4 linked regions of the Rhinolophus ferrumequinum genome follow. The protein of the gene in region 2 interacts with the protein of the main gene of each other region in a pairwise test. Links are inferred from orthologs where the notes say so. Each region holds a gene or a part of one and is shown on either strand. Other genes may lie near its edges.

The links. The genes of interacting proteins can lie anywhere in the genome.
Region 1: the proteins of THAP1 (region 2) and ACOT7 interact in binary tests that used the Homo sapiens proteins (3 or more experiments, as listed by UniProt). The two-hybrid records come from large-scale screens. The link is inferred for Rhinolophus ferrumequinum from reciprocal best matches to the Homo sapiens genes THAP1 and ACOT7.
Region 3: the proteins of THAP1 (region 2) and C24H7orf50 interact in binary tests that used the Homo sapiens proteins (3 or more experiments, as listed by UniProt). The two-hybrid records come from large-scale screens. The link is inferred for Rhinolophus ferrumequinum from reciprocal best matches to the Homo sapiens genes THAP1 and CHLSN.
Region 4: the proteins of THAP1 (region 2) and GPATCH2L interact in binary tests that used the Homo sapiens proteins (3 or more experiments, as listed by UniProt). The two-hybrid records come from large-scale screens. The link is inferred for Rhinolophus ferrumequinum from reciprocal best matches to the Homo sapiens genes THAP1 and GPATCH2L.

What each region holds. Positions count from the first base shown.
Region 1 is NC_046292.1:3,884,219-3,892,337, forward strand, and holds the start of ACOT7 (cytosolic acyl coenzyme A thioester hydrolase), read right to left. Parts: upstream 3,463-8,119; 5' UTR 3,133-3,462; coding exon 2,972-3,132; intron 1-2,971. UniProt on the Homo sapiens protein: Catalyzes the hydrolysis of acyl-CoAs into free fatty acids and coenzyme A (CoASH), regulating their respective intracellular levels.
Region 2 is NC_046287.1:57,931,557-57,939,218, reverse strand, and holds the start of THAP1 (THAP domain-containing protein 1), read right to left. Parts: upstream 3,400-7,662; 5' UTR 2,850-3,399; coding exon 2,779-2,849; intron 1-2,778. UniProt on the Homo sapiens protein: DNA-binding transcription regulator that regulates endothelial cell proliferation and G1/S cell-cycle progression.
Region 3 is NC_046307.1:44,272,916-44,280,608, reverse strand, and holds the start of C24H7orf50 (uncharacterized protein C7orf50 homolog), read right to left. Parts: upstream 3,463-7,693; 5' UTR 3,433-3,462; coding exon 3,369-3,432; intron 1-3,368. UniProt on the Homo sapiens protein: Hormone secreted from the intestine in response to cholesterol, where it acts to inhibit cholesterol synthesis in the liver and VLDL secretion,leading to a reduction in circulating cholesterol levels. Acts through binding to its receptor, GPR146.
Region 4 is NC_046289.1:22,707,234-22,715,688, forward strand, and holds the start of GPATCH2L (G patch domain-containing protein 2-like), read right to left. Parts: upstream 3,463-8,455; 5' UTR 3,146-3,462; intron 970-3,145; 5' UTR 960-969; coding exon 298-959; intron 1-297.

The DNA.
Region 1 (8,119 bases), on a different chromosome or scaffold from region 2:
TGAGAGCCTCATTTTCCTCATCCGTAAAATGACAGAGCTGGCCTGGAGGCCTCTACGCGTCCTTCCGGGTCCGATATTTATCAGAATTCTGAGTCCAACAAGGACTAGACGTTAATTAATATTACTCAAAATAAACCAAAGGAAAAATTCTTTTCTAAGACTTTAAACACTGTCCCAAGAACCTGCATCCGTAGGGATGGATCAAAAGGAGGGGACAGCGCCCTCCAGTGGCCCAGCCGTCAAAATTCCGGTTCTCAGAGACAAAGGGTTCTCTTGGTGAACGCAACATTTATAAAGGCAGAGCACGGTGCCAAAGGTTTTAATCCTCACAGCACCCCTGAGACAGGCACTCTTGTTATCTCCGATTCACAGGTAAGAAAACTGAGACCCAGTGACACTATAAGGAACATGCCTAAAACTACACACCGGCAAGAGGCAGAGCTGGGATTCAAACCCAGGGTGTCAGCGTCCTGAGTTTGCGTCCCACTTTTCAGACAAAAAGAGCCTCCATTTGCTTACAATGCGCCAGTCATTCTGGCAAGCACTAAATGCATTTTCTTTTCTGTAACACTCGGAACAACCCATGAGAAAATGGGGGCACAGAAGAGTTAGGCAGCCAAGTGGCAGAGGCTGAATTCACACCCAGGCGTGGGACTACAAAGCTGGCTCTAACCACTGCCCTCCCCAGCCTTTAGAGCCCCAAGCCCTTCAACATCTCCTTCGGAACCCAAAGCACGTGAGCACTCTTAACTGTGCAGGATGGTGGGGGTTTGGGCATCTTCCCCCTGCTGAACTGTGAAACCCCGTAAGGTAAGGACCAAATTTTCCAGGTCGGTGTCCCTCCCTCAGAGCACTTTCCTCCTTGGAAGCGTCCAGTGAAACTTGTTAAATTCATGGGTTCCGCTGTCCTAGGCCAGGAGGCTCCTCTTTCAACACAGGGTGTCGGCTCAGATATCCTTAAAGGGCTCCCCACACTGGTGTGTCCACTCTTTCCTGTGTCCTGGGCTTTCACTGGACCAAGCCTTTGTGACCAAGCCCTCCCCACTTTGGCAGGCTCACCTCAGCCAGGTATGCTGCCCAAGCATCCCACAGCCAAGGCAGCCGAGACAATATGCAATTGTGAATATGCAAGAGGCAGTCCGGAAAGCACAGTGAGCAAGAAAAGCCCACACATGTAGGCTTGTGCACATATGGAAGTGTCTAAAGCTATCCAAAAATCTATTAATTGTTAGAAGCTGGGGCTTTCAGATACTTATTTTTTAATTAGATTTATTGGGGTAACATTGGTTAATAACATTATGTAAGTTTCAGGTGAGACGCTGGTTTTTAACAAGATAATATGTGTAGCCTAGGTTTTCATCAGCCTGATGAAGTAAATAAAAGCCCAGCTGTCCACAAATAGACTGAAATCAGTATCTTCTTTTTTGGGAGTGCAGTGGAAAGAGCACGGGTCTGGAGACAGAAGACCTGGCAGCAGCTGCTCCTCAGGCTCTTGTGGCTGGATGACCTTTCAGAGGCACTGGGTCTGCGGAAATTCAATTTCCTCCTCCACATATGGGGAGTGGTGGAGATCCTTGCCTCCTCCCAGGAAGTTGGACAAAACAAGCGCGATGAGACAGATACAAGCCCTTTGCAAAGGATCACCCAGCCAATAAGGTCACCCAGCCAATAAGAGGCAGAGCCTGAACCAAGGACCTGATTCCAGGCCCCGCTCTCTCCAAATAGCAGTCACTTCTATTATTTTTGCCCCAGGAACTTGGAGTGGGGGGTGGACAAGACAGCCAAGAACAAAGGGAATGGAGCAAAGCTCCCCCGAAGATTCCCTCTCCCTAGAAAAGTAAAAACTGACCTTGAAGTCAGTAAAGGCCCTGGACTAGGCCAGAAGAGGGGGTGCGGTCAGGGCACCCCACCGATCCAGCACTTACTCTTCCAGAGAGATGTTAACATCCACAGGAAACTAACCTGGCTTGGACCCAAGGTTAGCGTGATACCCAATGCCCAAATTTGTGGAACCTGCCCCAAAACAGGAAGCAGCTGTCACTCTTAGCGGTGCACCACGCAGGACAGGCCCTGTTGCAGGCCCCCAGTGCCTGTGCGGCCTTCGCAGCCTTGCCCTTACTTAGCTCAAGCTCAAATACCAGCGAGCCTGCTTCAGATTCTGCCCAAGGGAATGAAGAGTAACCTTGAGGCTGCCCTCCATCCTCTGGTCGGAAATGAGCCAGTTCCCGATCTCCCGCTTCCTCTGGGGGCCTCCATCTACCTGGTACCCGTGGAGAAAGGCAGGGGTGGTCTGCTGAGAACAAACAATTGCCCCCATTGTGTAAGATGCTTCCAGGCTCAATGGACCATTCCCTCTTAGCAGTAAACTGTTAGAGAGGAAGGATATTTTTTTTTCTTTGGGTTAATCCTGGTTTCCCCTAAAAAAACCTAAGCGGTGCACTAAAAGGGACTGTACATCTGCAGCCCCCGCCCACTCGGGCACCCACCGATGGGTTCGCCGGGCTCCGGACGCCGACCAGCGAGCTGGTTACTTGCGCCCCACATCTCGGGGGATCCGGTTGGCTTTGCACCACTACCCAGAAAACGACCCTGAATTAGGGGACTCAGTGGGACCTGGGCTGGGGTTCCAGCGTGCTTGGGCACCGGTGGGGCGGAGCTGGGCGGGGCGCAGGGGGGCCGCACTCCGACCCCCGCCAGGAAAGGGCGTCGCGCCGAATCAGTGCGCAAACGGCCTGCGTGACCGCGGCGCCGCCCGGGGGATGCGCGGGAGGCCGGCGAGGACGCGCACGAGGAGGCCGCTGTGTCTGCGGCACCCGGGGCGCACCCGGCCGCGGGCGGGCGGGGTCGGGAGACGGACGGCTGGCCGAAGATGATGGGCCTGGCCCGGGGCGGAGGCGGGGAGAGCGCGGAGGGGCAGGCCGGGCCGTGACCTGGCCTTCCGGCCGTCCTTCGCGCTGCGCGCCCCTCTTACCGGCAGATCTGGATGGCGGACGGAGTCTCGGTGGTGGGGCCCGACATGCTGGCGGCAGCGGCGGCGGGCAGCTGAAGGAGAGCGCAGGTGTCTGGCGGGCCGGGCGCGGAATGAATGAGCCCGGGCGGCGCCATGGAGGGGGAGGGAGGAGGCGGGGCCATGGCGCTGGCGTGGCGGGGCCTCCGGGCCGGCAGCGAATCGGATGCGGTCGTCTTGCACTCCCCACCCCTCCTACGTCCCGGCCCCTGGCGTCCGCGGGCTCCTTGGGCGTCGGGCTCTGGCCGTGGGGCGCCGCTTCTAGAAGGTTCGGCGGCGGTTGGGCGGTGCCGGCGGGACGGCCGCGTGGGTCAGCCTCGCCCCGCGCGGTGTGGTTTGTGCGTGGCGTGCCCACCCGCGGCGCCTGCCAGCTCGTGGTCTCACCGTGCGCCCACCGGGCGGGAGAGGCCGGATGCGGAGGCCCCGTGGCCGTTGCGTGTCAGAAAGGCCTGCGAGAGTGAGCGTCAGGGTTTCGCCTTCTACAGTCAGCCCCGAGAGGAAATTGGAGGCGGTTTCCTGTAAACGAGCGTTCGTGGCGGAGCTGCTGTGTAGAGTTGTGCAGGGCGGCACGTGAATGCACAAAACGGGAAGCTAGGAACTGTTAGGCCTTTGCAGCAAGTGCCTTTGCAGCAGCACCAGCCTAGATGGGCTGGAGAGAAGCAGGGAACCGGGGTCTGTTGACACGGCCCACGCTGCAAACACGGCAGAGGGAGCCCAGGACCATAACAGTCCAAATGTTACTGTGTCCTGGCTTCTGTAAAGAGAAAAGGGTGCTCCCGGGTTAACCACTTGTATATGATTGCCAGTTGTTTTCGAACAGGATCTCAGTGGGGGGGCCCAGTCCCTTAGCAAAAATACCATGAGTTATTTTTGCTATAGTGCTGATGGTTTTACACAATCTCTCCCCTTACAGTCTCTCACCTTCCCCTTTTAGTTTTTTCTACTTTCTCCTCAAGCTACTGGGCCATTTCTATCCCTCTCTTTCAGCAAAACTTCTCAGAGCTGTTTATACGTCCACCCTCTCTCCTCTTCCCTCGTCCCGTTCTCTTTCCAACCCATTCCTTTCTGTTTTTATCTCTGCTGCCCAATTATCAAGGTCACTAATTCCTTCCAAATTGCTAAACCCAATAATTCGTGTCAGAAGTCGTTTTACCTGTCTTCTCAACAGCAGACGTTATCTCTCTCAAAACGTTGACTCTGCCTTCCAAGACATCACCCACTCCTGTTTTTCTAGCCACTCTGCTCAGCCTGCTGTGCTGTTCTGCCTCACCTCCTCCTCCTCAGAACTTGACTTAGAGGAGACCCGAGCAGTGCTTGGACTGGAGGTCTCATCCTCTCTCATGACTTTAAGTCCCATCTAGTCAATAATTGCCACATAATCTGCAGCGCAGACCTCTCTAAATTTCAGGCTCATATGTGCTTTTGCCTAGGCCGCAGCTCACTCAGGCTGTGTCATAGGCATCCAACGCTCTCCACCATCCTCATAGTCCCCCAGAATTTGTTCCTCCTGCAGTCTTCCCACTTCAGTCACAATCCCTTCCTTCCAATGGCTTAAGCTAACCTAGAGTCATCCTTGACAACCCCCCCCTTTCTCTCACACCCCTCATCGAACCCATCAGCAAATGTTGCCACCTCTACATTCAACGTAAGTCTAGAATGTGGTCACTTCTCCAGCTGTGGCATTCAAGAATCTGCCCACACCTACCTCCATGTGTCCGGCTTCACCTACTGCTCTCCCTCTCGGTCACTGAACTCTCGCCGCTCTGACCTCCCTGATGGGCCTTTAATATGCTGAGACCACTTGGCCCTAGGGACCCACGTGGCCCACCCTTTCACATCCTCAGTTCTCCACTCACCCTATCTAAAATTCTCCAACACTCCCTAGCCCCCTCCCTGGTTTGTTTTTCTCTTAATTAGCACTTAATACCGTTCAACATATATTTTACTCATCTATCTATTGTGTCTCCACCAACTAGGATGTATGTTCCATGCAAGCAGGCATTTTTGACTATTGTTGTATCCCAAACTCCTAGAAGAGTGCATAGCTCATAATAGATGCTCAATAAATATTTTACGAATGATTGAATTAGTAGTGGTTTACCAACAGCAATGTATTTAACAACAGCAGATATTTAATTCATTATATTTAATTTGCACACTTTTTGGACTAGAAATATACACAAGTTGTTTTAAAAACAAATATATTATTAAAATAATACCTAATATTTATGGAAAGATACGGAAGAACCTGTTGACACCTTTGGAAAAAGGACTAGGGGTAAGGCCTTTACTTCTCATTTATATGTTTTTGTACAGTTATCATCTAACCATTCACCTACGTTATTACCTTTTCATGGTTAATTACGGAGCATCTGATACGAAGCAATAGGAACTCTTATACACTGAGGTTGGGACTAAATTGGTACAACCTGTTTGGAAAATAGTTTAAAATAGTTACTAAAGTTGAAAATAGCCATATCCTTTACCCAGCAGTTCCACTTCTAGGTATTCACCCGATATATTGAGAATGAGTGCACCCAGATACGCTTCAAAGAGGGTTCATAGCAACACTGTAATAACCCCAGACTGGAAATAACCCAAACGCCCATCAACTGTAGACTGGGTCAGTAAATTGTAGCATACTCTTCGATGCAGTACAAATACCCGTGAAAACCAATGAAATTCCTTTACAACAGGAAAGAATCACAATGAGGAAAAGATCCAAAAGGATACATATAGTGAGTGTCCAGCCATGCACAGAAAGACCTAACATTCCATTTGTGCTCTTATCAAAAAGACGAGATAAATGCTGGAGAGACGTGGAGATAAGGGAACCCTTGTGCACTGGATAGGAATGTAAATGGCTACAGCCACTGTGGAAAGCAGTATGGAGGCTCGAGAAATTACAAATAGAGCTACAATATGATCCAGCAATCCCACTCTGGGTATATGTCCCAAGGAAACAAAACCTTTGTCTCAAAGAGATAGCTGTACCCCCATGTTCACTGCAGCAGCATTCACAATAGCCAAAATGGAGTATTATTCAGTTTAAAAAGGAAGGAAATCCTATCGTTTGTGCCAACAGGGATGAACCTGGAGGGCATCATGCTAAGTGAAATAAATAAGCCAGACAGAGAGAGACAAATACTGCATTTTCTACAGTATGTGGAATCTTTAAAAAAAAGAAGTCAAACTCAAAGAAATCATAGAAAAGCGATTTCCAGGACTAGGGGGTGGGGAGAAGAAGGGGAGGTTGATAACAGGGTACAAACTTTCAGCTATAAGAGGAACAAGACCTGAGAATCTAATGTATAACATGGTGACTATAGTTGATAACACTGTGTTGCATAATAGAAATTTGCTAAAAATAAAATATTTGTTAGGAAAACGTAAGTAGATGGCAAATCTGTAAAGAAAAACATGGACATGATTATCACAAAAGTCAAGACAGTGGGTCCCTCGCAGTGAGAGGGAGAAGAGTATGATCGGGGTGAATCCCACGGGGTGGGGAGAACGGGGGAGTATGTTCCCTCTTGACTCAGGCGATGGTGTACAGCTTGATAATTGTTTTTATACAATGCACATATGGGCATTACGCATTTTTGTTATATCTAGTTCACAACTTTAAAAACTAATGTACCTGGGAAGTGGGATTATGGACTTTTTTTTTTCTATGTATTTTTAGGGAAGTAGCAAGCCTAGTGGTTATGGGTTTGGACTATGTAGTCCAATTCCCACGCTCATATCTTTACTATTAGCTGTGCAGCCTTGGGCAAATTACTTACTTACTCTGTGCCCAAGTTACTTCATCAGTAATGCTATCATAGGGTGGTGAGATAGAATAAATATGGGAGAGAAGCAACAAGCATTCTAAAATATTAGCTATCAGTACACTGGTATTAATGTGGCTGCCCCAGCTTTCTTTTGATAAGTGTTAGTATTGTATTTTTTTGTTTTTGGGTTCTCCAAAGAAACAGAACCAGTCGGAGATATATAGATATAGATGGAAAGAGAGAGAGATGGATTTATTATGAGATTGTCAAGAATTGGCTTACATGATTATGGAGGCTGAGGAGCGATCTGCCATCTGCAAGCTGGAGACCCAGGAAGGCCAGTGTTGTGATTCCATCTAAATCCAAAAGCCTAAGAACCAAGGGAACTGATGGTGCATATCCCAGTCCGAGGGCGACACTCACACTGGGGAGGGCCGTCTACTGACTGAAATGCTAACCTCACTGGAAACACCCTCACAGACACCTCCAGAAATAATGTTTAATCTGGGCACGCCTAGGCCAGTCGAGTTGACACATGAAATTAACCCATCGTAGTCTTCTGTCTTTTCACTTTAACCTTTCTGTCTCTATATTTAAAGTGTGTTTCTTCACCAACTTACATTGGGTTACTTACCAAGGCAAATCAGGATAGAGGAAAATTTCAAGAAATCAATTAAGGTTGTTCATTTTCCAAATCATAGGATCCTCTCTAGGGATATTTGGTTTCCTGTCTTTCTTCCTCCATATCTTATTGGTTAGCTAAGGCTTGACCATGTTCCTTCTAATTGACTTTTAGTTTCTTCTCCATTATCACCATCATCACTCTAATCAGATTCTCATGGTCTCATCCCAGACTTTTCAGAGCTGTTCTAACCAAATTCAAATATTTCAAAAAAAAAAAAAAAGTGGGTTAGGGTGGAGTAAAGAAGTGGGCCCCACAGAAGAAAATAGAGACTGTTCCTTGTAGAATTGCATATAGTAGTAGCAACTTGCATTTTTATGCAGTCTGACAATCTTTGCCTTCTACTCGGAGCATTTAGACCATTTATACATAGTGAAATTATCAATTCGTATACTTAAATCTATCATTTGCTATTTGTTTTTCTATCTGTACCATTTGTCCTTTGCTCTTTTTCCCCCCTCTTCTCCTGCCCTCTTTCGGAGTGTGTGTGTATGTTTAATAATTCCTTATCATCTCCATTCTACCTGTACTATGCCAGCAGTTCTCAACATGTGCCCTGTGGACCCCTGGAGGTCCCTGAGACCCTTTTAGGGGGGGTCCACGGGATAAGAACTATTTTATAATTATACGAAAATGTTATTTGCCTTTTTCATTCTC
Region 2 (7,662 bases):
GGTGTTACTAGCACCACACTCCAACCAACTGGACTAACTGGCCATTCCACTGTTGTTTTTTTTAAAAAGCAGTAGTTTTTATAGAAATCTTTCTGATCACACAGTACTTTTTAAAATGTCAGATATAATGATGTATACAATCTAAACAAGACAGGCTGATTAAGAATTTACATAATGTAAAAATACATATTAAAAGTTAGCCATGCAGTGGGAAAAGTAGGTGATGAAAGGTTGGGGGTGGAGGGCCCATACACAGTATATTGTTTTTCCCCCTTCATTAGAGTAAAAAAACTTTCAATAACAAATGCAGGTATCATGTTTCCCTGAAAACAAGACCTAACCAGAAAATAAGCCCTTGCATGATTTTTCAAGATGACATACCCTGGACATAAGCCCTAATGCGTCTTTCGGAGCACAACTTAATATAAGACCCAGTCTTATTTTCAGGGAAACACGGTATTCCACACACTTCTAAATACACATGGGTAAATCGTGTAATTCTCTTATCTATCTCATTTATTATTGTTTAAATTTTTACATTGAAGACACTAAAAGTTTCAAATAAAATGTATACTATAGGGTGAATCTGTATTTTTTTTACCAGTAATTTTCTGTGTACTGTAAAACAAAATTGCCTGTTTATTATCTAAATACTGAGAATAGGAAGCTTCTAGTTCTCTTAGAATCAGTCTGACAAAAAGGAATAATCAAATTATATACTTAAATCATTAAAGAATTTAAAAACTCATTTTGATTTACCTCTTTATCTACTGGAATATGTCCAGTAGGCCAGATAAAGGGACGTAGGAAGAGTTTAAATTTATTGTGATTTTATTTTTCCAGGTCAAGGATTTAATAAGCTGGGGGGGACTGGAAAGAAGCCAAAGAAGGATGTTTCCAATTTATGTTCCAGTTTTTCCCATGTAAGGTATGCTAGAACCTTACTCTGTTATTATCATGAAGATCTAACCAATCTTTACGAAAGTCCCTTTTCTTTGCCTGGCATAGCTCTTCCCACTGCCACCATGTAGAAACTGGGGAAAGAAGTACTCCTAGAAGATTCTGGCTAGAAACGGCCTCTACCAGTGCAAAGTATGGTAGCAATCATTGGTAAAATTTAGCATATAGGGCCTTCTGACTCAAGCACTACAAGTGCTCAGGTTGTTTGTGAGGTTTTATCAAAATCTTTCCTATCTACTCCTCAAAAACTGTTCTTTTAGCTAAGGGATGAAATGCACAGGGTTAGCCCTTCTTTTGGTTGAATGAATTGTTTAACAGCCAGCAGAAACTCAGTAATTCTGATGAGTGAATGTCATCTTTTAGTTTGCAGTGTCAATGAAGGATTTTCCATATTTTCAGATTCCCTTTGAAACATCATGAGAAACAGGGAGGCGGGGAGCTGAACCCGTGTGATTGTGTTACAACCTCCTGACCTATTCCTACACTTTCAAAGTCCTGGAAAGGTCAATTCATCAGCTTTCAGAAATTCCAGTAATTCAAGAGGTAATATTAGGATATAATGAACTGAATCCTAGAAGTGGTAAATGTTCTAGCTCCTTCTCAGAAGAGAGGAAAAAATCAACACTCAACATCTATGCTCTAGGCACTCTTATTTCTGTATGGTCCCTCTTGTATTATATCAAGAATGTAAAAAATGCATCCACATCTGCTTTTAAACATAAATGACTTCCACCAAATAAAAACCTGATATTTAAAATTGTGCTATTGTAACTATTTAGCTATGAGTAATTCATGTAATTCACCACTGGTTCTAATTTCTTAGCTGTCATCATTTACAGCAGAAAATTCTTGCAAAAATTTGACGTAAACATAATAAAACTTGTAAATACTGTAGAATTTGGTTGAATGAAAATGCTATCGTGTCACCTCGCACATTTTGCAGGTATTTATCATTAAGTCATTTCCATTTTGCGGTTTTCTTTTCAAGAAAACATTTTCCCTCTAGGACTCTAATTGCCAGCACCTTCAGCATAAAACAGTCCTGAAGGCTGTGGGGTAGGTTCTATTCTACGGGCTTCCTCTGTGCACCCACAATAGCTCACATTGACCTTTATCATAGCACTTTATCATGGTCCGTATTATTATTGTCCATGTTATCATCACAGTGTGCTGAAAACATATACTCTTCATCTTAGCAGCACTAGAAACGGTCTCTAAAACGTAAGAGATCCTTAATGGTTGATTCCTAGAAACTGGGTCAAAAACATCCTCCCTGAAATCCTGGCCAAAAATCAATCCATAGTGATGCTGGGCCTAACATCCACAGCAAGGATGAAAAGAATGACTTCTTTTTAAAGGTCTCTGTTTCTATTTCAAATTTATTTCTAAAGAGTTATTACCACCTGGCTTCTCTATGACCTGGTAGTGAAATCCAGATGCCTCGCGGTCTGGAGACCTCACAACCCGCAGGGACTCGCTTGGAATTGCTCGCGGGTCCGAAACTCGCCAACCCCAGGCAGCGAGCAAACCTCGCACCGGAGTGGATCCTCAAACTCGAGAAACGATCACTACGGCTACGCGCGCCGAGATCGCGCAGCCCGGGGCTACCCGGCGCGGGCTTAGATCACAAGCGGGCACGCCCACCGCTTCCCCGCCTGGAATAGCACCGGAGGAACGCCCGGCCGCGCCCCGCCCCTGCCTCCGCCCCTCTCGTTAGGTCTCGCGCGGACACGCGCCTGGCTCCGCCCCCGAACCTGAACGGACGCGCGCCCCCAGCCCGAGCTGGGGCCAGTCCCGCGAGGCGCGAAGGGTACTTACTTGTGGAAAGAAACGGGCTTATCCTTATCGTATCGGTTCTTGCAGCCGTAGGCGGAGCAGGACTGCACCATCCTTTCGGTCCTCCGTCGCTTCACTTCTGCCGCCGCAGCTGGCAGGTGAAGCTGCTATCAGTGTCGCTGCGGTCGGCTTTGACACCCTCACTTCTTCTGTAGCTTTGGCCAACAGTTAGGTGAAGATAGCTTCACTCGGAAGTGACTAATGTGCCCGTTTTGTTATTTCCAGTAGCAAGAGGACCACAGCCATCTCCCCACTCCCATCTCCAAGATGGCGAAGGCAGCTTCAACCTCACTTCTCGCGAGGAGTTCGTCCTACCGTCTGTGATTAGCCCTGAGGTCAGAGGTAACGTTCCCTGAGAAGCAGACGATTGGCTGAGACCCGGCGTGTTGCCCGGCGGGCTCAGCGTTGCGGAAGTGGGCGGGAGAAGAAAGCTTCCGGAAGGAAGAAAGAAACAGCCTGGGAGTAGAGGCGAGGGGACCGGAACGTGAACCCGGATCGGGCTCCGCGGCCATCCTTTTCTTGAGTTAATTTATCTGGGGGTTTAGCGTGGAGAACAATACGGTCTGTTGGGTCTGCTGGCCTAAAGGAGGACAGGTGTAAAGCTGAGGTCGTTGGGTAATTGCGCCCATTTTTTTAAAAGGGCAGCCACTGATTGTATATGATTTGTAAAAATGTTGATGGAAACAACACAAAGGTCCATTACTGAACTGATTGTATATGATTTGTAAAAATATTGATGGAAACAACACAAAGGTCCATTACTGAATGAATAAATTGTATCGTCATATAGTAGACTACTATACAGCAATCAAAGAAGCTATGACTAATACAATATAGGTGGTTCTTACATGAATAAGTCAAATAAAATATACGATCCTTTTAGGTAAAACTAAAGTGAGAAGAGGTTACTTTGGGGGAGAGGCAATGAAGGGGGCTTATGGGATGGTGGTAATGTGTCTTGACTGAAGTGATGGTTAAACTAATTACCACTTTATAATTATCTGACCCTTATTTATTTGTAAAACGGTGTTTTTTGTACTTTAATAAAACAGCTTACTAAGCAAATGAGCCGCACAAAATATGCAGGACTGCCTTTTATTAGAGAATGAGCGATGTTTGTGTTCATTTGTTCTCTTCATTTGCCCATTTAAGTGAAAGACAATAGGGATAAACTGAAGAAGGTTAATTGGAAGTTTGATGTTTTTCAAAGTCTTGAAAGGCCAAGAGATAATTATTTACTAATATAACACTTTTTAAGGAAAAAAGATGTCACCCTTGATATTAAAAAAGTTTTGTTACAATTATTCTAGAAAGGTAAACTTTGTCTTGTTTAATAAACTGAGGAAAAATAAGACCCTTGTTTTGACATAGGAGAGGGCTAAAGATGTTTTTGAACACACTAATATCTAAGTTTAGGTTTTAATTTCTACCCAACTATGCTTTCTTTTTCTATAAACAATTTTTATTTAAAAAGATACTCTAGCATTCATTCTCTATGGGTCTCATTATCTTCATCTGTGGAGTAAGGCTGTAGCATGAAATGAGGAATTCTTAATTTTGAATCCATGAATGGTCAGTTCTTGAATCCCCTGAAAATAAATTGAAATTATACATACATGTGTATGTATGCATTCTTCTGGGGAGCTATCCATAGCTTTCACCTGATTTTCAGAGAAAATACAAAAACTAGCCAATTTGTAAGGACCCTTACAACGTTAATATTCTAGGATTAGTGAAACAAGATTTTCATGTAGCTAGAAATTCCAGGTTTTCTCTAGCACCGATTAGAAGGGTGAATGTTTTGATCTGAATATCAGGTATTTTTAAGTAGTTTTTAACTTTGTGTTTTAAAACATTGAAATCTAAACTATTACGTATCAAGTGAGTTTAAAACATCGTTAGCCCTTAACCCTCTCTTATGTCACATACTACTTTCCCATCAAAAGGCCTACAGCCAAATAGCACTACTCTTAAAAAGTAAGTAAGTATTCAAACATGCTCAGTGTTTTCTGACAATGTTTACTCCTCTCATGCACCAATCTGGGACATGGGATGAGTCAGAGGATGCAATTAGATAAAGATGACAGTGACTGATAACACCTCAAATTTGCTTGCAGTCTTGGACTTAGTGCTTAAATATTGATGCCATAAAAATGAGCTGGTTCTGATAGAACACAAAATTTCAATGATTGTCTTTATCTCTGTGATTGTCAACAGCCCTTAAAGCCTACTGGCCTGGTCCTGGGAGACAAGTCTTAGGGTCTTCAAACTTTGAGTGAGTGCCCTTTCCTATTCTGACTCAGTCGCAGGTTTATGGATTGCTGTTTGGCAAAATGGAAGAGCCTGAAGTACATTTCGTTTCAGAGAGAAGGGAGAGAGGCAAACATAAGAGACACAGTCTCAGGAAAGTACATTTCCTTTATCAAATACACACAAAAGGAATAGGTGTGGGGAATCAGGGTGCAGGCCTAATCTCTTAATTCCAATTCCACCCTTGTCCAGAATTAATATAGATTGCCCAGATCAAATTCTCCTCAAAAGCATTTCTACTTTTTAAATTTAAAAATACCTAAGCAAAATTAATTAGAAATGTGACAAAATACTTCATGTCCATTAATGAAAAAGAAAGCCATTGCAACCATTATATTGAATACTATTTCAGGAGTTCGGAATTTGAAAGCAAACAATATTAAAGAAACAGGAAGATAACAAGTACTTTTTAATTTTAGCTATATTGCTTTTATTCAAAAGAATAACTTCTTGACAAACTCTTAAATCACAAAGTTTGAACAAACTGTCAATCTTCTGCAACAACTCTGTGAGGTAGGTATCTGCACAGCCACAGGGACCAACAGTACTTTCTTCCCTTGTTGCTTTCAAAGGCTGAGAATTGTAGTAGCTGAAACCACTCTCCTAGTGGGCAGTTAGAACAATTGTTTCTTCCTCTTGTTCCCCACAGATCTGCCCAAGTTACCATCTGTTCCTGGGGTTGGACCATCTGTTTTTGTGAAGGTTACAATATTGTTTACAAAAATCCAAATTGTTGCTTTGATTTATATGATCTCAGTTTGAATCATAGAAGTATTATTATGTTTAAAACACTGATTGACTCTACTTGCTTTAAATACTCAGATACTTTCTACATTTATTATCAGGGATCAATAAAGATGGCATAGTAAGCAGGTCTAAAATTCTGAGATGTCAGCATGTTCCGTTTTCAGGTTGATAAGACCTCAGATCATACAGTGTTTCCGTATGTTACAAAAGTTGGTACAATACAACTCTACCAGGCAAGTTTTAAAAGGAATTGCAAATATTACAATAAATCATTATAACTAGAAATGTGACACTTGAAGCAGAACACATGCACAGAAAATGAAATCCTTTCAAAAATGACATTGCTACATAGCCCCACATAAAATTTATAATTGGTAGGAAATGCATTTCTAGTCTGGGATAACAAACTCCTCCTACTATTAGCTTTTCAAGTTGGTAACTGCAGCTGAAATGCTTTTCTATGAAGTATGCTACCTTATTAGATGTTTGATTTGGAAGTAGAAAATTAGGGTTTATGAAGTCTTGATATGTCATCTTTCTAGACCTTTCCTCGTAGGAGCACCCAAGCTATCCTACTCCAGTGTGTTCCAAAAGACTTCCAAAGCCCCAGTTTCGCTCCTGCTTTCCCCTCTTTGTAATAACCTTCACATCTATCTGAACCCATGCACGAGTCCTACTAAGAGTCTAATATCAGTTCTGTCACTTATTTGTGTGTGGCTAGACAAAAACCTTAACATCTATAACAGGGATTTCTTCTATGAAAAAGAAGACAGGGCCGACCAGGTGGCTCAGGTGGTTGGAGCACCATACTCCTAACTCCGAGGTTGCAGGTTCAATTCCCACATGGGCCAGTGAGCTGTGCCCTCTACAGCTAAGACTGAACAACTCTCCCTGGAGCTGGGGTGCCATGAGCTGCTGTGAGCGGCGGACTGAAGAATGGCAACCGAAGACTGGTGACCGACTGCCTGGGAGGGGAGCGCAAAGCTCATAATACCAGCATGGATTAGGGAGCTGTGTCCTACACAACTAGACTGGGAAACAACAGCTTGAACAGGAGTTGGGGCGCGGAGAGGCGGAAGAAAGGGAAAAAAGACAATACTTTGCCTTCTTCACATAACTGTCTTAAGAATAAAATGAAAAGTATGCAAGAAATTGCTTTAATTATAATGTGCTATATTTAAGTATTGTTTTCTATGACAAGCAACAGCTTTGTCCTAGGCCCAAATTAGAAAACACTATTGATATTTTATTCAGCAACTCATTAGTTGATGGCTAAACTGATTAATTTGAGACTGTGACAGATGTTCTTTTTCTCCCTATCTATATATAGTGAGGCTCATTAATACATGAATGGACAGTATGATTATCAGTGATTGCAGGTGACAGAGCTAACACCCCTGGGCATCAACGACAACCCTGCTGTCCAGTTTGCTAATTAGCAGTGCCCCCTGAGAGAGTTAGGATTCATAATACTTGTGGTTTTGATTCTTCTCAAACAGAAAACTGCAGAAGAGCGCAAGACACTTACGCTGTAGTCATTAAAAAAGCAAGATAACTTTCCTGTTAAATCACCTCAGACAACATTTGCTCATTCTGCATAAGACCTGATGAACCTGGGCTATATGCTGTCACCTAAGAATAGTATTACAAAAGTTTTCTGATTAACCAAATTTGTTCTTTCTGTTTCTCTAGCCCAGCAGTAATTTCTCTTGTCAAATTTAAAGTGTTCCTAGTTTCCTCCCTAAGGCCTTTGATACTCAAGCCATGAAGAACCCCTTTCCTCAGAAATGCATCAAGCTACTAGGTTTG
Region 3 (7,693 bases), on a different chromosome or scaffold from region 2:
TCTCTCCAGTGGAGGCAGACAGATGGACGGAATGAGGCAGCAAAGGCAGGCTGGGGCTTTGGGGGAGGGACAGGGCAGAGCACCCGATGGGCTGACCTCAGTGGTCGCTGGGGAAAGCTGGCCCCCAGGGAAGGAGCACAGCTTTTGGGCCTTTTGACTCGGCCCACAGGGACCCGAGGCTGATGGACAGAGCTAAAGGGCCAACATCAACACAAATGCCACCTACATTGCCTCCCTTTATCTTGTAAGCCAGAGACAACCAATCAGCAGCCAGCCCCTTCTCTGCTGGGAGGAATTCTAACAAGCAGGTACACGGGGTGGGCACTAACCCAGAAGGATGAGTCAGTGTCACTAACGGGTGGAGGTCCCCAGAACAGTTTTGGTCCAAGGTGGAATCCGGTCAATCCCAGCGGCTCCTCTGCCAGAGCACCCCCCAGATGGAGGTCCAGGGTAAAACGTGAGCCTGGTCCCTGAGACACACGTGAAGAGCTCCAGGTGGGGACGGCGGGGCAACACAGGAGCACGCCGAGCCAAGCTGTGACTGAGGCTCTGCCTGAGCCTGTGGGAAAAGGGGCGACGTTGGCAGTGGAGTTTGTGGGGGAGAGGTGAGAAGCAACCCACAGGACGTCGGTGGCTCAGATGTGACCTGTGTGCCCGCAGGCTGCGAGTGTTCTTCAGGGCTGCTGAGGTCTTAGAGATCACAGAACACAGTGGTAGGCAGGGAAAATACAGCGCATTTCATCAGGAACACTTCCAGTCCTCGAAGAACGATGCTGACAGGAGGGCCGCGTGACCCATTTCCAGAGACCCTGTTCCAAGGAGCCAAGGGGCCAGTGATTCTTCTCACGGGGGTGGGGGTGGGGTTGTGCAAAAGCGGCTTTCCTTTGGGATTTCAGCAGGACCTGCTCCTTCACAGCCAGTCTGTAAGGCCTTGGAGGGCATGCTGACTCCTGGGGCAGGCTGCTCGGGTCCGCCGTCGCTGCCTCCTTGGGGCCTTCCACAGCCCAGGCACAGGACACATCCCTAGGACACTGCAACACCTCACAGCTGCAGAGACCACGGCACTGCCACCAGAAGGGGGATGGCGAACTGCTTGGCGGAGCAGGGAGCCGAGCGGAGTCTCCTGCCTCCAAGGTCGGCTTCCCCGACCTCCAAGGGCAGCCCTGCCCATCACGCCGGCCACCAGCCCCACTGCCTCCCAGAACCTCAGCTAAGCCTTTGGCCTCATTTTGCCCACATCTCGGGGACAGCAAACAGGCCCCTGGTGAGGTCCCCTTTGCATGAGCTGTTTATCCTTGTGTATGGCCGGTGGGCCCCCCTTTGACTTTGGGCATAAGGATGCTGCCTGATGACTTACAGTGCTCCCGTTTCTTCCACTACTAGTGGGCCCAGGCAGGCCTGGAGCCCTGCTGTGTTTTGCATGGTCGACAGCCTAATGTGGGGCGTAAGCGACGGCCTTTCTGGAAGGTGAGGTTCACATCCACAGCCGTGCTTCCGTGTCAGCAGAAGGCCGCTCTGCTCTGCAGGTCCCAGCCATGCCCATCTCCTTCCTAACTATTAGACTTCAAATCTGCCTTTATTTCATCTGTGGAAACATGTGGCTGACTAGGACGCGATGGCTGCAGTGGGTTTTAATCTGGAAATGCCGTGCTGGTAGGCTGACGGCCGACTGGATACTAAGTACAAGAGCTGTAAACAAGTCTAGGAATCACATTCAACACACATAAAACGTACTCAAAACTTCCAAAAATTAGCTGAGTCGTTGCTAACTTGGCAGTGCTGACCTTGTCATGTGAAGGACATTTGAAACACATCCCCAAGGCACCAAGACACCTATCTCCCCAGCTCAGTAGAGGCCGGCCTGGGATTCCAGGAGCAGGCGCAGAAGGCGAGCTTTCCTACAGCTTCTGACCAACACCACTTCCCTTAAGGAAAAAATAATTGTGCTCAAGATTTTCAAATGTTTTCATCCCATTTCAATCTAGCAGTCTCTGGACTGCAACACCTCCTCAGTAGCGTTCGTGCTCCTTGTTGTTAGAAGAGAAACTGCCATTTCTTTGGGTGCAAAGCAAATAACATTGCAACTAAAATCTCATCTCAGGACCCCTTCCTATCCCACCTTCACCCCATTAAGGAGCCGTCCTGTTGCCCTTCGGCTGTTCAGGACCTGCAAAAGCTTTAAGCTATGGGGGAAAAAAATCAAAGCAAAACATGTTATTGGCTTCAAGATAAACAGCAAATCAAAACAAATGTTTATCACTGTATCAACTTCATTAATTATTGAATGGAATTTTCAAAATCATTTCATCACATTTGGAAACTATTTATGGGTTAGGTTTTTCTCACTTTGCAAGAATTCCTGAGCATAAACAATGCATTTTTAAAAACAATCACATTGCTAAATAATGCGTTACTCACAGCCCAATAATTTCAGAAGCAAAATAGTAAATACTGGTGAGGGTTTTTGCTTCAAAACAGTGATGTTTAATGTGCAATATGGGGGTGGGCCTTGCAAAGGTATGGCGGCTTTGGGCTATCCAAAGGCCCTGAACATTGGTCACAAACAGACCACAAGGTTGGCCTGGGGGGATGGGGTAGGTTAAAGACTATGGTGTTTCCCCAAAAATAAGACCTAGCCAGACAATCAGCTCTAATGTGTCTTTTGGAACAAAACTTAGTATAAGACCCGGTATTGTATTGTATTACATTAATTATATAAGACCAGCTCTTATAGTAAAATAAGATGGAGTCTTATATTAATTTTTGCTCCAAAAAAGACACATTAGAGCTGATCGTTCAGTTAGGTTCTATTTTTGGGGAAACATGGTAGTTGAGACCACTCCCGGGTTTTATAGATTAGAAAATGGGGCCAGAGAGCCAAGGGAGCTTGTCTGGGGTCACACGGCCTGGAGCTGAGACTAGAATCCAGGGCTCTGGACCCCAGGGCGCACACAGCTCCGGCCTGGAGCAGCAGCCCGAGGGTCTGCGGGCACCCAAGGTCGGGGGATCACCCCAGATCCCCTCGGCAGGGCTCCTCCTCCCCATGCAGGGCTCCGAGGCTTGGAGCTCGGCTCAGAGTCCCCTCTTTCGCCTGTAAACGGGAATCAGGAAACAGGGATAATGCGGGGCGCCGGGCCGGGGCCCCAAGACGACGGTGGAGCCCAACCCAGTGGGGGAGGGGCGCCACGCCCTCACGGTGACGCCCTCGGGCCCAAGTCTGGGGTCTCCAGGGTGGAGGCCGACGCAGGGCGCCCACACGCGCCGGGACTCCCGCAGCCCCTCCGGGAACAGCCCTGCCCCCCACGCGCACGTGCAGGACGGATACCTGCCCGCCCCATGGGCCCCGCTCCGGGGCTCGGCGCACCGACCTCCGCGTCCCCGGCTGTCGAATCTGCCCAGGCCCGTACCCCTCAGCCCCCACGAACTGCGCATGTCAGCTTAGCCCAGCGCGGCTGGAACCAGATCCAGCCGGCTGGACGGTGACGCAAGCGCGCCCGCGCTCCGCGTGTGGAAAGCGGGAGGTGGGCGTGGCTCCGGCTGGGCGTGGCTCCGGCGGTGGGCGGGGCCCGACAGCTACACAGGGGCGCAGATCCCTAGACCCACCCAGGGTCTACACTGGAAGCCCCCCGTGCCATGTAGTCCGGGGTGAGGAGACGCGGCAGCGGGCGATGGGCACGGACTAACACCCACCCTGCCGGGTTCCCTATTTAACAAGGTTGTTCAGAAGACGGATCCGAGGCTCAGGGCAACTTCTCAGTCCGCAGCTCGGCCTCGAAGTTGCAGACACAGAGCCCACGTCCAGGGGTCCGCCGGTCATCAGGCCCTGCTTCCGATTTTCCTCGCCGAGAGCCATGGCGCCAGGCTCCCTGGCAGCGCCCACACGGGAGGCAGGAAAACTAGCTGGTGCAGTGCCCCCAGCTGCTCCCCATTTCTCTGCGCAAACCACGGACGCAAATCTGACGATGAGGCTGGGGCCCCGCGCGCCATCTCCATTCCCACCTCTTCACCACCTGCAGCAAAGGACCCTAGGTTCCCTGACCCTGGCCTCCTGTGTCCCCCCAGGGCCTCTGCCTGCAGCGCTCGCTTGTCCTCACTTCAGACCTAAGTCATCCTTAGCTTCAGGGACCCCTCTTCGTCACCTACTGAGCACCCTCCCAATACCATGGCGCCCCGCACTCCCCAGAGCAGCGCCCCCCCCCCCCCCGTTCTCATTAATGTCCAGTCCCCCCATATGCGAGTTCCACAAGGACGGGGGGGGGGGGGGGGGGGGAGGGGTGAAGGGGGTGTGGGGGTGTCTGCTCACCACTGCACTGACGTCCAGCAAGAAGCAGCTGCTCAGTAAAGGCCCAGGGAATCAGTGAATGAGTCACACAGCTCTGTCCTGGACAATGGCGCCTTAAACCTCTTTGAGAGATTGTGTTCCCTCTAAGGCAAGACTGCAGATCAATTTTATGATCCAAAGGAAAAAACCACACTCCTGCAGCACCCCCAAGGGCCCACAGTAGGCTCTGGAGGTGGGGCTGGTCCCAGGGGCCTGAACAGGCCCGTCTCACCCGCGTCTCTGGGGAAGGCCAGGTGCTCCAGACACCCTGTACTAGGGCTGTGAGGTGTGCTCTAGAAGCCCTTTCTTCCCTTGCCCACTGTGCACGGCCAGTGGGTGTGGATGTCCTGCTTGGGGTGTGGGTGTCCCACCTTCCCAGCCTGATAAGGATCTCTGAGGTCCCAGAGCCAAGGCTGCGTCCCTTTGTGCTTTTGCTCTTGGTCATTTCCCCGCCACCCACAGGCCTGGACCAGAGCGGGAGGGATGCAGGGGAGGCAGAGCAGGGTGGGCGCCCGCCCCCTACAGTGGCCTCTGTGCTAGGCAAGCTCACCTGTGCCTCCTTGTTTAATCTCTGTGATGCTGGCATCAGTGTCCCACTTTACAGATATGGAAATGTTAAAAAAAGAAAAAAAAAGTTTCCAAGTTGCCAATTTCATGGAATGAACTCAGTTCTGGGTCTTTGGAGTCCCAGAGGATTTGTGTGCTGACTTTCTAGTGCCTTTCTTTCCATGGTCAGTCCTCTGAACCAAGGGCCCTCTCGTCAGCCGCTTTCATCCACTGTCGTCTTCTGGTGACTCAATGGGCTGCTTTTGGAGACAGGAGAGGGGGAGACAGATGGCCTGGCAGCAGGGTGAACAGGCACAGAGATGCTGGCTGAGGACATGACACGCAGAGACAGAGCGGGCTGTCACTCATGTTCCCTTCCACATGGAGAAACTGAGGCTCAGAGAGGGTGTGAAGTATGCCAGGTCTGCCTACTCCTGAGCCCGGGTTCCCTCCTAGGCCCGTCTCAGCCCTGAGCCCAGCCTGCAGGACACCCTCTGTTCCCCAGGCTATCTGCCAAGGCACCCCGTGGTTCAGCACCAGGGCTCCAAGAGGAATGGTACCCGGTACAACCCCAAGCACCTTTGAGACCAAGGTCCAGCTGGTGGAGTGGGAGGGTGTGACCCAGGGGCCCACCTGCCATGTGAACCTGGAGGCAGCAGCTGGGTCAGCCCCGAGGGAACTGAGAGACCCCAGCACCCCACCCCCACAGGCAAGTCAGCTCAGCAGCAGCCCCTGGTCAGAAAGACGGACCTGTATGCACCCCACAAACACCTGTTCTGCACCCTCTTCACGCCAGCCGCCCTAAGTGCTAGCGTGCTGTGGGGAACAGAACCAACATGCTGCTGCCACACACTGCGTGTTCTGTCCCCACAGTCACATGCTGAGCCCTAGCCCCCATGTGACGGTGTCGGGGTGGGGCCCTCATGAGTGGGATTAGTGCCCGGGTAAGGCGAGGCCCCTTCTGCCATGGCAGGACACAGCGAGGAGTGGCCCTCACCATACATGGCATCTGCTGGCGCGTTGATGCTGGACTTCCAGCCTCCAGAACTGAGAGGAGGAAATGTCTGTTGCTTATAAGCCTCCCAGTCTGTGGTGCGCTGCTATAGCAGCCCGAATAGACTAAGATACCTGCCCACGGCAAGATGACATTAGAAGGCTACGATACTGAGAAAAACTAGGTAGGAGAGACAGAGAGTAGGTTTATTCAGGTTTTGTAACTTAAAATGGTTGTGGGAGCATGGAGGTCAAGGAAAATGGCACCAGGAAGGTGACAGCTGAGTAGAGACCTGGCAGTGAGGGAGTGCACACAGCTCTCGGACATGTGGGAGACACGTGGTCCAGGCAGCGGGGACGCAAGACCCAAGTCCTGCGGAGGGGCCCAGAGGCCCACGTGAGGCAGAGGGGAAGCCGGGGCGGCTGGGGACACGGGGGTGGGGTATAAGCAACCCTGCCAGGCTGGAGTTCTGGAAGCACGAAATTGCCACCAAAACTTCCAAGAGGCAATAAGAATTTGTTTTCAAATCCAGGGCATCAGGCACCCCACAATCATGTGGATCACCAAGGAAAGAACAACTACGTCCTAAGTAGACATTCTGAACCAGAATGGTTGATCAGCATGCCCAATTTCCTGGGCACGCCACCTCCTGGAGAACCTGACGCTGGGGCAACCCCCAGGAGACTGGGGTTCGGAGCGCTGTCTGGATACAGACAGCTGCTCACAGCCAGCTCAGTGCCTGCACACACCACTCCCCTCCCACTCAGCCCTGCCCCCAGGGACACCCCTGCTTGGAGGCAAAGTGCTTGCAGGTGGGACCTGGGAGCAGGGGTGAAGACCCAGCCCGAGCCCCAGGTGAGCAATGTCCGCTGTTGGCCACAAGCAAGAGGGAGGAAAGCAAAATCCTGCTGAAGGCCTTTGTACAGCCGCTTGCCAGCCCCTCCAGAGCAGCCGGGCTCTGGTGTCTCTGCCAAGTGGGCCTCGCTGACCCTGAAGTCGTGGGGCCTTGGCAAGGGTTGGCCCCAATGTCTGCGATTCCAAAAGCTCATGTCCGAATCCAGTGGCTTCACTGGAATTCTACTGAACTCTTAAGGAAGAATCCACACCAACTCTATACAATCTCTTGAAGAAAATGGAAGTAGAGGGATCGCATCCCAATTCATTTTGAGGCCAGTATTACATGCTGATATCAAAACCAAAAACAGTACAGAGAAAGAAAAATACAGTCCACAATCCCTCATGAATATAAATGCAAAAATCCTACTCAGCAACATAGAAATAGGATGATACACCAGGACCACGTGGAGTTTACTCCAAGATGCAAGACTGGTTCAATATTCCAGAATCAATCCATATAATCCACCGTGTAATCCCCCAAGCTAAAGAAGAAATATCACCTAATCACATCAATTGTAGAAAAGGCTTTTGACAAAATTCAACATCCATCCATGATATAAATTCTCAAGAAACTAGAAGAGGGGAGCTTCCTCAACTTGACAGGTGACATATACAAGAACCCCTGCCCCCCAAGGTCAGCAACCAGGCAGCAGACCCACTCCCACCACGGCCGGCCAGCAGGTCAGCATCATGCTGCCTGTCCTGGCCATGCAATAAGGCAAGAAAAGGGAAAAGCTGTGCACCCCCATGCCTGCTGACAGGCCCATAGCCGCGGGGTTCCACCGACGCCGGCACCAGGCCTGCGAGACCCCACGCTCCTGTCCGTGCACACACGCAGGCAACCTGCACCAAGCCCCAGTGTGTTGTTACTCGCATCCCCAGCACCCCCATAAACGATGTGCTGCCCCTCTCTTCCTGAGTCCTGGCTGGAGTCA
Region 4 (8,455 bases), on a different chromosome or scaffold from region 2:
TGAACCACATGACATAAATAACAGCAAACTGTTTTTAAAATAAAATTCTGGTTGTGCATTTGAGGTACACATTTTAAACAATTTTTAATGTGTGTCTATGCCATTATAGCCCTCTACAGAATCATGAATGTTCTTTAAAAAGCTAAAGACAAATACTGGCTGACCGGTTAAAGGAGGGCTGTGCAGTCAATACCACAGTGGCAGGTTTGAAAGCAAGGTGAACTCATCAAGACTGTGGATTTGTACTCTGGGTAAATTAACCAGGCAAATCTTTGACTTAGTGAAGGGAGATCTCACCATTCTGACATGTTCTCATCAGAGCCCTGTTTTTGTTCATCTGCTTCACACGCCATCCTTTCTTTCCTTCCTGTTTTGCTGAGGAAAGTCCTATTTTCTGCTGATTCACACAATCCGTGGCCAGATGAGGTCCAGGGAGTGTTCTCCTTCCAGCGTGACAGACGCTGCTTCTTCGCAGACTTGAACCGACACCCTCTCTCATAGCTCCAATCGGACACCTTGAGCTTCTGCTGAAGGCTGGCAGCCACCTCTGATGTCACTCGCTTCACCTTCCGCCGGCGCCTGAGTGGTCGACAAGGAGCATTTTCCGTAAAGGAGTCGGACTCATGCCAAGAATGTTGCTTACTCTTAACAACGGCGTTGAGAGCTGGGTGCCGTTTGGCTACCATTGTGTCATCGGAGTCACTAAAATTGGTGACCGGGGCCACTTCTCGACAGTCCTTAATGGCCTCCTCCAGACTGGACTCAGAGGCCTCACTGTAGCAGCAGGTGTGCTCTGCCAGGTGAGTGAAGTCTGACCGGCGCTTCCGGCCTCTCCGTTTGCGAAGCTGGCGCCTCTGCTGCCGAGGGCTCAAGGCCATATCCTCCCAGAGCTCACCCAGCTTCTTCTGTTCAGACGTCTGCTCCAAGGCTGACGTGAGGTCGTGTACCAGCTCATCCATGAGGCCACATCTGCCAACAGGAAGTTCAAAAAGAGAAAAAGAGAGCCTGAACAGGACCTGTTGTTTTAGAGCAATTTTTTAAAATAGATCACGGCACTGCGGAGCCCGCCCAAACTATAGAAAATAAACTCACATTTTATCTGGCTACACTTAGAATCTGTTCCTACCATCCATGCTCATTTTGGCCACTGAAAATAGGTGTTTGGCCCTTGTTCAACTCCTGAAGTCAACATGTTTTTAAGCACAAAAAAAACAAAAATTCAGCAAATGACAACTGGGATATCAGCAAAACAAAGCAAACTCGGGGAAATAAATCTTTCCCCTTTTTCCCTAATTAAACTTGTCACTAAATTACATGACGATGAGATCCAGAAAGACTAGAGAAAGTCTCATCAGACAGAAGCAGAAAAACACACAACTTCAAAACCATGGATGAAGGACTGTTTTATGGCCGGGGGTTACTAGTAAGAATGCTGGGGAAGGGAACAGAAAGACAACCTAATGACACACTTTAAGGAAGGCTGCTTGCAGTTTTAGTGATCCAAGAATTTGTACTGACCCAGGTTTGTACTCTGACTGGAAAAAAGATACTAAGTTTACACCTATTCTGGTCCCAACTACCACCTGGAAGATACCAGGTAAAATCCTTATAGAGTACCGCATATATTTCTTAATAATTAGCAATTTTTAAACTCTTTTCCCCATCCCTCGGAAAATAAGTGATCAGCCTGATTATGTGCTTTAGTGCTAGACAATCACACATAAACAGGATATAACTGAGATTGAAATTACAGGGATGTGTGGAGTCCCTAAGATTTCTAGCTAACTGCTTTCCAAAATTTCCTACTTTTCTATTCATTCTTGTCAGGGTCACTTCAGAGGCAAACATTCCAAGGGATGAAAGTATATGAGCAATTTTCAAAATGCCCTTTTATAGGGAAATGTCTAATATAATTTGTACAACACCTAATTAAATACATATTAAATTAGCACTTTTCCCTAGCCCTTGTTAAGCCCCAAGTATTTCTAGACCATAATTAGAACTTAAAACTGCATGGCGCCACTCTCAGACCATATTTCCGTTCACGCAGTTTACATTTTGCGAAAAACTTTCTAAAAGCTATTTTCATGCTGTCCCTATGCCAACGAACTCAAAGGCAGGAAAAAAGCTGGCTTGGCTTATCTCCCACAATGGTGGGAGCAATGGGGACAGCTAGTTCCAAAACTACCAACCAAACAAAACTCAAAGTGTCAAAAGCCACACATAAAATGACCACTTCCCTTTAAGCAATAAGTAGTTTAAAACGCCATGATTGGGGTTTGGGAGACAACTGTCCTAAGACCAAAGTAGATAAACAAGTGGGAACAGCATGTCTAAATCGACTTCCCTCATAAAGAACTGCTTTAAAAACTCAGGCAGAACTGTACAAACTTCAACGTGTAACTAAGTTACCAAACAACTGGGAGTCGAATGCCCGTGCAGAATCTTTTCCTGCCTCTAAGACTGCAAGTGACAGAAGAACCCTGCAGGTCCCACACCACTAGTGTCGGATGCACAGTCCAAGAGGACCCCCGGGCACAGGCAAGCACTCATGGAGAGGAAAGGCTGTCTGAGTCGCGCCAAGGAAGGGGAAATTGGTAGAAATGAGACGCAGGCGTAGGGTCGGAGCGGGAGACCGGGCTGGGGTCGGAGGAGGAAGGAAAGGCCGGAGTCAACTTCTCATTCGTGATCACCAGGGGCGGGGCGGGGGGTCGGGTCAGCTCTTCTAGGATAGAAACTGCGAAAAAGCAAGTCCTGGCGACGAAGCTCTCTCCGTGCAAGGGTTGCAACCTGGCCACAGACGTGAGAAAAAGGCGCGTTTCGAAGGACTCACCAACGCCGCGGCCCGCCCCCGAGGACTAGGGCGACCATGGCTCTGGACACCAAGCCCTCACGTTGTCCTCGGCCCAAAAAGAGCCATAAAGAGAAAAGAAGAGGTGACTGTCGCCCCGGAAACGGCCCGACTCTCATCCCCTGGGACGGAGGAGATGGGCCCTGAAAAACAAGGCCCCACCATCCTCGCCCCTCCCGCCGGCCGCCGAGGTCCCAGGAAGCCCCTGGCCACTCAGCCGCGACCAGGAGCGCGAAGCCCCACTGGCGCCGGCCCCTTGGCCCCTGACCCTCTCAACCCACATTTCCTCCTCACCAGCTGCCGCAGGTACCTCCACCGGCCTCCGCTTTTTTGGCCGAGTCTCCCCGCCGGGGTTCCCCCTCTGACCTCATTTCCGGTATAGGCCGGAGGGGTGGGGCAGTGCGGAGTGGGAGGAGCTTCCTGCGCGAGACAGCCCGCCCCGGTCCAGCGCTTCCGGTCCGCGGCCCGGCCAACTTCCGCCCTATGGAGGGCGGGACCTTGGGGAAACCCGGAGACCAGACAATGCGCTAGAAGCGATTGCGGTTGTGGCCCCGGCAAGGCAGGGGGTGAGGAGCCCGTCCGGGGAAGAACCCCCCCCCCATTGCTGGCTTCATCTTCTTTGGGGAGGGGCATCAGGAAAGTGGGCGCTAGGGAGGGGCGTAGGCCTCGCCCTTGTTTGCTGAGCTACTTTTATAAAGGGTGTGACATGGAGGGGTTATGGATCCGCATTTTAACCATCAGAGTTGGTATAACCTTTGGCGGGGTAGCTTTACTCAATGGGTTACTCAGAGTATTAAAAATACACATGCCTTGATCAACAAAACAGTGCTGTTGGTTTATAACTCCAAGTATAAGTGAACTACCCATGAGTTCATACTGCTGTAAGTTAATGATACGAATACTGATATGAATACATTAATAAAGGAGAAGAAGAGCTAACTCTGTAAAGCAGAAGAATTCCAAGTAACTTATGTAGATACCCCACCCTGACGCTTAACTCCCAACTTCGTAAATGTGGGCTGCGCATAGTGACTTCCTTTCACCGAGTACAGTAAGAGGGGGGATATGAGTAACTTTATAGTAGAGAAACGAGACACATACTACCTCTGCCAAGTGATCAAGGTTAACATCAACAGTGATAAATCATGTTGGCAGTGTGTGGACCAGATATGATGAGAGTGGTCTTTTATCTCTTGGCTTTCCAAACCCCGTAACCCCAGTCTAATCATAAGAAGAGAATCAGGCAGACCTCAATGGAGGGACGTTCTACAGAATGCCTGACCAGTATTCCTCAAAATTGTCAAGGTCATCAAAGACAAGGAAGGTCTGTCACAGCTAAAAGGAGCCTACGGCAACATGACAACTAAATGTAAAGGTGTATCCTAAATGGGATACTGGAACAGCAAAAAGGACATTAGAGAAAGAGAGAGAGAGAAGGAAGGAGGGAAAGAAAGAAGGAAGGAAATATGGATAAAGTATGAACTTTAGTTACTAATCATATCTCAATATTGGTTCCTTAATTGTGACAAATGTGCTATATTAACGTGAGATGTTAATGGAGAAACTAGGTGTGGATGGGGACACGAGATGTTAATGGAGAAACTATATAGGAACTGTTTGAAGTGTCTTTGTAATTTTCTGTAAACCTAAAACAATTCTAAAATTAAAAGCTTTTTTTTTTAATGCACATGCCTTTTGACCCAGAAATTCAGCCTCTAGGAATATTATTCTAAGGAAAAATTGGAAATGGGCACAAAAATGTTAAATACGGGTAAATCCATCTTTGCAACATTGTGGAGGGAGAGGTGAGAAATAAAGCCAGAAATAAATAAATACTAGAATAAAGCCAGAAATCTTGCAACAGTGATTAGTCATCTAAATTATGGTACAGCTATGGGATAGAATACCTTGTGGCCTTTTAAAAATTGATGTGGGAGAATATTTAAGGACATAAAGTGTCATCAATTTCTGATTGTGTACATTTCTGCATGACTGTTATACTTCAATAAAACTGTTACTCTAAAAGTGTAGAGTATGACTCTATTCATGTATAAAGGAAATTAAATCTATATTTGCATAGGAATATGACCAGAATGATACACTAAAAATCATCTAAAATATTTCCATTATAAACAACTACCTGTTGTTTTTATGGATTTTCAGAATTTTCTATAGAGGAAACCTACTGCATAAAGAATTAAGAGAGGAGACATAGATGATTGAGGTTTTGAGCCAGAGTGAATATGAGATTGGTCAGTGCCATTTGCACAGCTAGAGAAGAAGAGAAATAGGTTTGCTGGGAAGATGATTAATTCCACTCTGGACATGCTGATTTTGTGACTCCCACAGGACAGAAAGATGGAAATGTTCAGAAGGTGTCCACAGCCATCAGCCTGCTTTTCTGCTTAAGTGATGTTCTCCACTAATCATATCAGCTCCCGTGGTGTCAGTTGCTCCCATCAGCACTGAAAGCACCCACATTTCTTTAAATCCAACTTGTATTTTCAGCTTTCTGCAAGATATCTCCACTTACTTACTCCACCAGCATCTCCAATTTAAGATGTCAAAACAAAGTTTAGTTTCTTCCATAGTCCCTATCCAATATGCCCCTTTTCCACTGTCCCCTGTTTGGAAATCGTCACCCCCATCATGAAGTTACCCACTTGAGAAGCTTCAAAACCATTTGTAGTTCCTGCTTCTTCCTTATACCTCTTCATCTAATACACATCTTCGTGGATTCTACTTGTAGAGTATTCTTGCATCCACCCTCTCTCTTTTGCTTTCTCTCTGCCATTGGCCTCGTCTGGGTAGGCAGCCACTCTTCTGGATGGTGCAGCTAGGCCAAGACTATTTAAGCTTCAACTTGTTGGGGGGCATGGGGAAATGTAATAGAAGGGCAGCTCATGCTGACTTCGTAGAGGGGCCAGAAAAGGAAATTAGGATTTATGGAGCACCCATGCGCCAGGAACTGCCCCAGAAATGCACAGAAGATTAAGTTAGATGGTAAAATAATACCATCATGTCGTTTAACGATGGTGATACATTCTAGGAAATGCATCGTTAGGCAATTTCATCATTGTGCAAATATTAATATCATAGCGTGTACTTACACAAACTTAGATGGTCTAGCCTACTACTCACCTAGACTATATGGTATATAGCCTATTGCTCCTAGGTTATAAACCTGTACAGTATGTTACTGTACTGAATACTGTAGGCAATTATAACACAATGGTATCTGTGTATCTACACATACCTAAATATAGAAAAGATACAGTAAAAATACAGGATAAAAGATTTTTTAAATGGTCCACCTGTATAGGGCACTTACCATGAATGAAGCTTACAGGACTGGAAGTTGCTGTGGGTGAGTCAGTAAGTGAGTGCTGAGTGAATGTGAAGGCCTAGAACATAACTGTATATTGCTGTAGACTTTATAAACTGTCCCACAGCCCTCCCCTGCTTCCTTCTGACAGGGTCAGAAATAGAACATCAAAGCTGTCAGTGCTGCTCCATGAACGGGTGTGGGCTGGATTAATTAGAAATATCAAGGAGAAACTGGCTGGGTCAGGCATACATCACCATAACAGTGACTGTCAGGAGGGAGTGAAAGGTGGCCTGAGGATCAGGAGGAATAAGAAATCAAGATGGAGAGATCGAGGAACATAGGAAATTATCATGGCAATGTGATTTGGGCTATTGCATGTTGGAGCAGTGGTCAGATTAAGGAACTTTGCGGTATTCTTTTTTTTTTTTTTTTAAGGTGTTTAACGTGGAGAAGATGAAGAACTGAGGACTCAATATTTTGACTTTGGAAATTTGTTTTTGGTTCCATTGACCCCATCTGGCACAAAGGGCTCTCTCTGGCATTGAACTGATGGAAGAAATAAAACTTATCTGTGCTTTACATCATTACAACCTGAAAATATTTAAAAAGTACAGGCACAGGCTGGCTCCACACCACCACAGAAAGCTTTTACTAAACTGACAGTTTGCCAGGAACTGCCCCTGAAATGCATAGATTAGTACCAGTTCCTGTGGACATGTGTTTTTGTCCAGCATCTTAGGTCCTCAACAAAGAACTTACAGCAATGTATCTGAAGACCATCAGGCTACATCTTGGAGGGCTGTAGTGCCCTCTGAATATACAGTGCTGGGGGGACAGGTTTCTCTGTGCTGAAACAGATCAGTGGCTGACTGACTGGGGTATAATCTGTGCACTCAAAATTGAGGTGCCGTGAGTCAGAGGGATCTATTGCCAAGCTCCACAGATCTGATCCCATTAGGGAAAAAAAAATCCTCCTGAATCACGTTACCATTTCCTACAGAAAATTCAACTTTGTTATAGTCGTATGGGTCCACATATATGCAGTGCGTGGTTGACGGAAACTTTGTTATACATGACTGTAGTAGTTAACATCTAGTGAGCACTCAGGAGGTGCCAGACACCATCCTAAACAGCCATGTGGGTTAACTCAATAATCCTCACAGAAATCCTATGAAGTACTCTTATCTCCATTTTACAGATGAGAAAACTAAGGCAGAGCGGTTAAGTAGCTTGCTCAAGGCTGCACAACTGGTAAGTATGTAACCAGGCAGAATGACTCGAAGAGCCATGCACTTAACCACTACATTATAATGACTCTAATATGAATGTGAGTGCTTACCACATTGAATGCACGTAACAATACCTACACACATGTAGGATATATGTTAATTGTTAGACATATGTGAATTATACAAAAAGATTTGTACCTCCATTATTTAACGACAAAATCTTTCAATTAATCCTCAAAATTACACTTTAATGTAAGTGCTATTGTCCTGACTTATAAAGATGAGGAAACTGAAGCTCAGAGAGGTTAAACAGGGTCGCGTAGCTGGTGTGAAATAACTGTGACGGAACTAGGCATCTGACTCTACAGGATACTCTTCTTTTTCTTGTACTCTCTCCTCTGCTTTGGGGAGGTATTTGGCAGGTATTGCCTGCACTGACATTCAGTCAGTCAGTCAGGATATACTTAGGGAGTGTCTACCATGTCCTAAATATATGAAGGTGTATCCACGAACATCATATACAAAAGTCCCTGCCCTCAGGATTCTTCCATTCCAGGGAAGGAAGACAAACAATTAGTGGATCATTGTATGAACAGTCAGGTGGTGGAAATGCTTTGAAGAATAACAAAGCAGGATAGGGGGAAAGGAAATGCTGGCTGTGGGGACTTGCTGCTATTTGTGATGTCTCTGATAAGGGCTCATGTGAGCAAGTACCTCAAAGAAAGGAGGAAATGTGCCATCCAACCATCTCTGGGATGAACATTCCAGGCAAAGAGAACAAGTCAGGGGAGGGGCCATGAGGTGGTGTGTTAGTTTCCTAGGTAGGACTATTGTGACAAAGCAGCAAAAACCGGGTGGATTTAAACAGCAGAAATTTACTCTCATAGTTCTGGAGGCCAGACATCCAAAAATCAAAGTGTCGGCAGGGTCGTGCTCCCTCCAAATGCTATAGAGAAGGATCCTGTTCTCCTCCTAGCTTCTAGTGGTTCTCGGCATTCCTTGGTATCACTCCAATCTCTGTCTCCATCTTCACATGGCAGTCTTCCC